2 linked regions of the Ovis aries genome follow. The protein of the gene in region 2 purifies or fractionates together with the protein of the main gene of each other region. This does not show direct contact. Links are inferred from orthologs where the notes say so. Each region holds a gene or a part of one and is shown on either strand. Other genes may lie near its edges.

What was found.
Region 1: the proteins of SPSB2 (region 2) and CUL5 purify together in Homo sapiens (affinity purification with mass spectrometry; 4 studies listed by BioGRID and IntAct, counting the BioPlex papers as one, with this or other methods). This does not show direct contact. The link is inferred for Ovis aries from reciprocal best matches to the Homo sapiens genes SPSB2 and CUL5.

The regions. Positions count from the first base shown.
Region 1 is NC_056068.1:17,272,427-17,276,786, reverse strand, and holds the start of CUL5 (cullin-5), read right to left. Parts: upstream 3,085-4,360; 5' UTR 2,656-3,084; coding exon 2,632-2,655; intron 1-2,631. UniProt on the Homo sapiens protein: Core component of multiple cullin-5-RING E3 ubiquitin-protein ligase complexes (ECS complexes, also named CRL5 complexes), which mediate the ubiquitination and subsequent proteasomal degradation of target proteins.
Region 2 is NC_056056.1:209,407,692-209,411,915, reverse strand, and holds the start of SPSB2 (SPRY domain-containing SOCS box protein 2), read right to left. Parts: upstream 2,929-4,224; 5' UTR 1-2,928. UniProt on the Homo sapiens protein: Substrate recognition component of a SCF-like ECS (Elongin BC-CUL2/5-SOCS-box protein) E3 ubiquitin-protein ligase complex which mediates the ubiquitination and subsequent proteasomal degradation of target proteins.

The sequences.
Region 1 (4,360 bases), on a different chromosome or scaffold from region 2:
TCTGCTTTATAGCAAAGTGATTCAGTTATACACACACACACATAAATATATACAATCTTTCCAATGTTCTTTTCCACTGTGGTTTATCACAGTATATTAAATATAGTTCCTTGTGCTATATAGTAAGTAGCACCTTGTTGTTTATCCGTTCTATTTTCTATATGTACAGTAGTTTGCATCTGCTAATCCCAAACTCCCAGTCCATCCCTTCCCCTCAACCTCCTCCAGACTTTAATTCAAATGACCCTATGAATTCTGGTAAGGGTCTCCCTGCCATTTCTCCAAGACAAACTTCCTACTTTTTCATTAAATATTTCTAAAGGCATAAATACAAGACAACCCCCGCCATCCCCCCCATCCACACACTTCAATGAGGAGAGAAAAAAAGGAAAAAAAACTTTTCTGACCAATGTAAATAAGGAAACTTTTGGTGATACAGATAAAAGAATCAAATGTCTACTTATAATATCCACTGTTAGTTGTATGTATTTAAAAATCACATACTACATAAAATATTGAGAAATTCTTTTACCCCCTTTTCAACATCTCATTAAATAATTTTATTGAAAATTTTCCAGTGTATCTGTCATCTTTTTGTATTCCCTAGAGACTGTGACTTTTACCAGTTTTGTCAGAACATTATCACTTTCCTTTTATTTATAAAAGTTGAGTTACAGAACTGCTCGAATTATGATCTTTTTAACCTAAGTCTTAAGCACCTATTTCTATACATTCAGGTGTTTTCAGTTTATAGGTGGGTGTGTGCTATACATACAGATTCATAATCTCTACAAGGTAACGACTTAAGAGTATTGAACGAAGGAGCTTCAGACTTTTATCTCCTCCAAACAATGCTTTGTAAGGCTTTGTATGGAGTAGAATAAAGTGACTCACTCTTTCCTGAGACACAAATCTGGGAGGAAAAAAAGACTTTGCTTTACATCCACATTATCAGTAAGTCAAAAATTCACAATTACTTCTTCAACACATTTCAATTAATAACATACACTATTGGTTATGTAAATACATGGATACATTAACAGGAGTCTTTGCAAGTTAGTTTTCTTTCTGAATTAATATATTAGAACTTTGCTATACTGCTATAAAAGAAGTGAGTTACTCAACTCCCATGAACTTGTCTTCTTAGAGAAACAGCAGTAGTAACTGTAGCAATTTATGTGTATTGCATGCCAGTTAAGATCCAGTCGCTGTTTTAAGATTATACATATACTAACTCAATCTTCACAAAGTTCCTATGAAGTAAGTGCTATTGATAATTTCACTATATTGATGAGGAAACTCAGGAACGGAGAGAAACTTGCCCAAAGTCATGGAGCAGAAATTCTAAGTAGCAGAAATTAGGTCTAGTTCTAGGTCCCTCCCTCTTTTAAAAGAAGACACGGGGTTGGGTAGGAGGGGAGGGGCGGGGCGGGGAGGGGCGGGGGCGGTGTATATATGTTTGTTAGTTGCTCAGTAGTGTCACTCTTTGTGACCCTCTGAACTGTAGCCGACCAGGCTCCTCTATCCATGGAATTCTCCAGGCAAGAACACTGGAGTGGGTTGCCATTCCCTTCTCCAAAAGAAGACACACTGCCTCTAAAATTAGTAAAATTAGAGGGACTAATACAGTTAGTATCAGTAGTCTAAAGAAGACAAGAGTGAGGTTACAGTAAGTTTTAATATATTTTCTATTCTCTATCAACACTGTCTGAAGGCCTAATTGACAGGGTTTTTGAGGGAGAAGTAGTTCATCCACTACCCCCATTTCAGTAGTACTTTTAAGGTATAAAGTATTGCCTACTACAAACATACCACAGACGAAACTAGTGTCAGGTCTTCCTCCTTCTCCTCTCAACTTTGTAACTGATGGTAAAGAATCCGCTTCTCTAGGCCTAGATCCCCCTTGCTATCCCAAATACATAAAACTAACTTTAACGGTTGTCTTTGATAAGGCAACTTTCCTAAGCCCTAAGACAACGGCAGTGCTTCCACTGTAGTCATCTGGTTGCGTGCTGTAATGGGGTTGAGGAACAGTTTCCTAAGTTAAAAAGGGTAAACATACGAACTCAAGAAAGGAAGAACAGAAGAGAAGGTGTAGCCCGCAGTTAAGGGAGGGAGTTGGGGCTTCAGGCGCTGCCGTCTGACTTGGAATTCCGCGCAGACAGAATGAGAAGAGAAACTGAGGAGGTGGGGATCCAAGTCATTAAAACCTGTTAGCAACATTTTCTGGGATTTTCTTTTCTTTTTTTTTTTTTTAATGCGTCTCAAGACTCCCGCTTCAGAAGAAACTGAGACCCTAAGGACACTAACTGACCGATCCGTCAGGACGCTGCACCACCTTTCTTCCGGGGTCCCGAGCCAGCGCTGGCCCCTTGAGACCACTGCCCGCCGTCGGCCCTCGGCCGGGCCTTTCATACACCAGGCAACCGGCACCAGGGACAACCAGGGCCTCTCGACCCCAAGGCCGGAGAATCGCGTTCCACTCCTCGGCGGCTGCCTCCCTGGCTTCCCTTCCGGTAGACAACCCCTGAACACTCCCCCATTTCGCCGCTGAACCAGAACCGAGCCATTCCCCGAGAGCTGAACCCACCGCTCCCGGAGTAGAAATCCAAGACGGACTGAGGGTCTTACCTTTAACAGATTAGACGTCGCCATATTCCTTCAACTTAGACTCTCGCGAGACCGCGCGAGATTTCGTGGAGCTCCGTGCCAGGCCACTACTGCAGGCCCGAGTGTCCCACCTGGGCCGAGGGGCCCCCCGGCCCGCACTGTGGATGTGGTGGGCGCCGGCGTGCACACAGCGCTGACCTCGTCCCTCACTCCCGGAGCTTCCTCGCTCTTCCCTCCCTACATGGTCACCGGGGCCTCCCCGTACGAGAGAGCTCATGCAAACACTCGGGGAGACGGCAGCGGCGAAAGGTGAGAGGGAACAGGAGCCGACCTGAAATCGGAAGAGGAAGCATCGGCTCCACGAGCCTCCCCACTCCTTCAGATGAGCCTCTGTGGTGGCACCCGCAGAGGCCACTGGCAACGAATTTAGCTCGGTTTGGGACCGGCCGCTCTGGTTCGGCGGCCGCGTCACGTGACGCGGCAGGCGGGGCCGCGCTCGGGAGCGAGCGTGGGAGCCTGAAAGCGTCGTGGGCCCAGAACACGCCGCGAGGGCGAGGGGACGCCCTCTGCTGGCAGGAGTATGTGTCTTCCACCGCCGCGTGCTGTGGGGAGGTTACGAAAAAGACGTTATCCTGAGTGAAATGCTTGTAATAGCTGTTTTCAAGAACTGGCGCATAGAAGGGCCCCAAGAAATATTTGTTTGCATGAATCAATGAATCCATGCACGAACGTGTTAACTATTAATATTTCTACTCAAGAGGGCCTGGCACTGAAATAACCTCTAAGAGGTTGATCAGGTATACCAGCACATCCTATACCCTAAGACCCCTACGCTTTATCACTTCAGACCTCAAACCACTGGCCAAATAAAGGGAATATAATTTATATGTAGAATCTACAATATACCTGTGTGTGCTTTTGAACTGTGGCATTGGAGAAGACTCTTGAGAGTCCCTTGGACTGCAAGGAGATCCAACCAGTCCATTCTAAAGGAGATCAGCCCTGGGTGTTCTTTGGAAGGAATGATGCTAAAGCTGAAACCCCAGTACTTTGGCCACCTCATGTGAAGAGTTGACTCACTGTAAAAGACTCTGATGCTGGGAGGGATTGGGGGCAGGAGGAAAAGGGGATGACAGAGGATGAGATGGCTGGATGGCCTCACCGACTGGATGGACGTGATTTTGAGTGAACTCCAGGAGTTGGTGATGGACAGGGAGGCCTGGCGTGCTGCAATTCACAGGGTCGCAAAGAGTCGGACACAACTGAGCGACTGAACTGAATTGAACAATATACCCAGTATTGTATTCTACACATTTCCGAACTGTTCATTCATACATAAAATGTGAGAAATAAGTTAGAGCTATAGAGTCCCTTGGACTGCAAGATCCAACCAGTCCATTCTGAAGGAGATCAACCCTGGGATTTCTTTGGAAGGAATGATGCTAAAGCTGAAACTCCAGTACTTTGGCCACCTCATGAGAAGAGTTGACTCATTGGAAAAGACTCTGATGCTGGGAGGGATTGGGGGCAGGAGGAGAAGGGGACGACAGAGGATGAGATGGCTGGATGGCATCACGGACTCGATGGGCGTGAGTCTGAGTGAACTCCAGGAGATGGTGATGAACAGGGAGGCCTGGCGTGCTGTGATTCATGGGGTCGCAAAGAGTCAGACACGACTGAGCGACTGAACTGAACTGAATAGAGTAAAATAAAGCAGAGAAGAGGAATGCAGTTTTAAACAGAGGGATCC
Region 2 (4,224 bases):
CTCAATGGACATGAGTTTGAGTAAGCTCTGGGAGTTGGTGATGGACAGGGAGGCCTGGTGTGCTGCAGTACATGGGGTGACAGAGTCAGACATGACTGAGCAACTGAACTGACTAACTGACTTCATCGATTTCTTGCAAATGAAACAATACAGTATGTATTCTTTGTATTCTTTTGTGTCTGACCTGTTTTTTCCTCAACATTAGGTCTGTGAGAGTCATCCATGTTGTTGCATGAAATGATAGTTGTTTGAATATTCCATTGTAAGCGTGGGCTTCCCTGATGGCTCAGCAAGTAAAGAGTCCATCTGAAATGCAGGAGACACAGGAGACTTGGCCCGGGAAGATCCCCTGGAGGAGGAAACGGCAACCTACTCCAGTAATCTTGCCTGGAAAATGCCATGGACAGAGGAGCCTGGTGGCCTACAGTCCATGGCGTCAGAAAGAGTCAGACAAAACTGAGCCCAGGGCATACGCATGTTGTATGGATATACCACAACTGTTTCCATCTTTAGCTACTGTGTATAGTTATCAGGAGTCTTTTAATGGACCTAGGCAGCTCATTTTTGTTGGGGGCATACTTACGTGCAGAATTGTTGGGTTACAAGGAATTACAATGTATAGATTTAACCACATGTAATTTTCAGGTTTCTCGCCACAGAGGGATTTTGTTCAGAAATGAAATCGTTCAGTTATTTACAGCATGGAACGCTTTAACAAGTTTATGAAAATTTGAGCTGTTCCGTTCTTTCTCTTTATCAGTTCCTCAGCTTTTTATTACTGGTTTTCTGTTCTTCGTGTATTTCAGTTTCTCCCACAGAGCCACCACGATCCACTTGCTAGGCCACTCAGTGAGTTTCACTTGTCAACAGAAAACCCTTAAAGTTCTAAACACATTCTTCCCAACATGCAAGGACTGTCTGAGGTTTGTTTCCATGCCTGCTGAATATAAAAGATGCAACTGGAAATATTGGAGCATCTTCAAATTGTTCAACTCATGACCACATTAAGCCCAGCATCAGCTCTCCCTGGCTCTCAAGGAGGAATCTCAGCCTCATGCATGTGACTTTGAAACAGAACTTCACGCTTACAGCAGAACGAAGGATGGGGTGATGTTAGGGGGAAGAAAACTTCAATGCCTTTATGAGCGCATTCATAAAGCGTGTGGGACTGCAGAGTGGTATTGCTGCCTGTGAGCGGCAATGACAAAGCCAAGGCCTTTCTCTCTGATGTCCAACTTAGCTTCTAGGATGTAGACTGTAAAAGCAAATCAAGAAAAATACTGCAGCTACCCAGGACTTTGCATTTGAAATGCTGGAGTACAGAAGAAAAAAAAAAAATTTTTTTTTTAAGGACACTGGGATTTGTATCTTTGTAGAACTCTCTGGCTTTATTAAACACACTGCTTCACTGCCTCCAGGAAAGGAGGTGGAAGAGGTGGTCACGAGCTCATTTTGTTGTTGTTCAGTCGTGTCTGACTCTTTGAGACCCCGTAGATGATAGCCTTCTTTATCCATGGGATTCCCCAGGCAAGAATACTGGAGCAGGTTGCCATTTCTGTCTCCCGGGAATCTTCCTGACCCAGGGATTGAACCCGACTCTCCTGTGTTGCAGGTGAATTCTTTACTGCTGAGGCACCAGGAAGCCCCCACAAAGTCTTTCCTTACTTTTAAACCAGGGTCTTGAGCTACTAGTTTGGAAACATAAAAGCAGTCGGGCAAGTCCCCCTCAGAAGATACCAACCTTGCTATATTCTGGGGGACAGCGCTTTGGCCAATATTTCTTAGTAGTCCTGGGTAGGTTCCCCCACAGATACAGCCTCATAAACGGTTGGAACATATCTGGTTTCTAAACCTGTTATGCCATCCTTGGCTAGTTGTGAAATTCTTCCATCCCAACGCCCTCTTGTCTGGCCGAAGCGTGAACTATGACAAGGCTAAGTTTTTCTTTTTCCTTTTCTGCCATGTATGGCCATTGTGAGGCACCTATTTCTGCTTCATTTCTTCCAGGAATAAGTTTAGTGTGTTCTCATTCCTGATTTAAGATTCACACGTACCTTGCTGTCCCTGTAACAGCAGAAGAACCTGATGACCTGTCTTCACACATCTATTGAATCTCAATTGCACGTGTGATTTCTTGAGGTCATACTCCTGTGCCACGTTGGAGATGGCCCTCGCTAAGTAAGCCCATTTTCCTCCCAGCGCGGGAAGGAACTGCTGCTTCTTTGGGTGGGCGCCAGATGAAACTGTTAGATTGCCTTCAGGTGGGTCGTGTTATACGGAAAAGAGGCAGCTTAAAAACACTAGTTTGAAAAGCAAAACACTAGAACCGCAGTCAGGCTCAGGCCCAGGGCCAAGGGCAGAGTCCAGTCCCACCGTCGGTGGGGAGCAGTACCTGGAGACCTGCCACCCTATTTAATCTGAGAATTGGTGTGTTTGTGTGCAGACTCCCGTGCTCAGTCGTGTTCAAGTCTTTGCGACCCCTTGGACTGTTGCCCACCAGGCTCCTCGGTCCATGGAATTCTGTGGAGACACGCAAGAGTACTGCGGTGAGTTGCCATTTCCTCCTCCAGGGGAAGCTTCCCCACCCAAGGATAGAACCTGTCTCCTACACTGGCAGGAGGATTCTTTACCGCTGCGCCCCCAGGGAAGCCCTGAGAATTGTTGAGCTCACTTTAAGTGTGCCTGATGCAACCCCATCACCTCTCATTTAATCCACACAACTAAGATGGCCCAGTGTTGACAGGTTTATACACTGGGTCTCGGAAAGGCTAACCGACTTGTCTGTGACTAGAGCTGGTAAATGGCAGCGTCGGGACTCAAAAAATGAAAAGCCACTGCGCCAAACCCAAGGGTGGTGACCAAATGGCGATTGCTGGTAACGCTCCCAGCTCTCCGAGCCAGACGCGCCACCCCCGCCGCCGCCAGGGAACCGGTTATGTAACACGCGGGGGCGCGGACTCCCGGGGGCGGCGGTCACGTACGTGGCTATCTGCGCAGGCGCGGGGGCCGGGCGGCTGCAGGGGCTCGCGCGCCCCCTAGCGGCCGCAGCGGTGACGCGGTCTCCGCTCCGCCCGCTCCCAGTGTGCTGCTTTGCAGCTTCCGCCCCCGCCCACATCCCTCAGGCGTTTGATTCTGGAACATTAAGCGCCGGAACAAAGGCCCCAGGGCGGAACCGAGGGCCTTTAAGCCACGGCTGCACCTTTGGACTTCAGAGGGGAGTAAAAGAGCTGGTGCTTCCGCAGATCCGCTTATCGAGGCTAACACCCGGAGTTTTCGTACCTATAAAGGGCTCCCTTCCTCTCTCCCTCAAGAAACTGTCCTTACCTCGCCATCTCTCTCTTCTTCCTGTGGACAATATCGCTCTATCTAGGGATCCTCACCACGGGAGAGTCTGTGACCTCCACCTGGGAGGTGCGAGGCCACAAGTCGCAGACAGCCAGGTTATGCTAAAGACTGCAGCCTAAAGGAGCTCGCCTGTTATAAAAACCACCCTCTCAAACTCTGCAAGCCTACATCAGCCTGTCATTAAAAGTCCTGCTTGCCAAGTCAATGCCCGTTTGTTTATCATTGGTAGTTTTTAAAAGACTGGCTCAAGATTGTCTAACTTCACCTTTATGTCCCTTAAGGCCTCCACTTTCCAGTGACTCATAAGTGAGGATATCCGCTGGCTGGTCCTTCCTTTATGCCTTTATGCCTTCCTTTATGTCAGGGATTCTTAAAGTGGAGGGAGGAACAGAGAGGGGTGTCCTTAATTACTTTTGAAAAGCACATTTACCATTAGTTCTGGGGACATCCCTGGCGGTCCAGTGGTTGGGGCTCTGTGGTTCCAAGCAGGGTGCACAGGTTCAGTTTCCTGGTCAGGGAATTAGGATCCTGCATACTGTGCACGAGCCTGGCTTAAGACAGCAAATAAAGAAAAATTTAAAAGTTTCTTCAAAAAAGTTACTTAGGAACATGAAATTGTGGACTTCTCTGCTGGTCCAGTGGTTGGGGCTCTGAGATTCCACTGCAAGGAGCCAGGGTTTGACTCCCAGTCCAAGAACCAACAACCCTCACACCGTGCTGTGTGGTCACATATTTAAAAAAAAAAAAAGTGCAAGCATAATTTAAAGAAAATTTTTAAAAAGTATTGAAAACTCATCACAATCTAATTATTGTACCACCTTTTGTAGTTTGCTAGGACTGCCATAACAAAAGGCTTAAGTAGTTTAAGCGACAGAAATT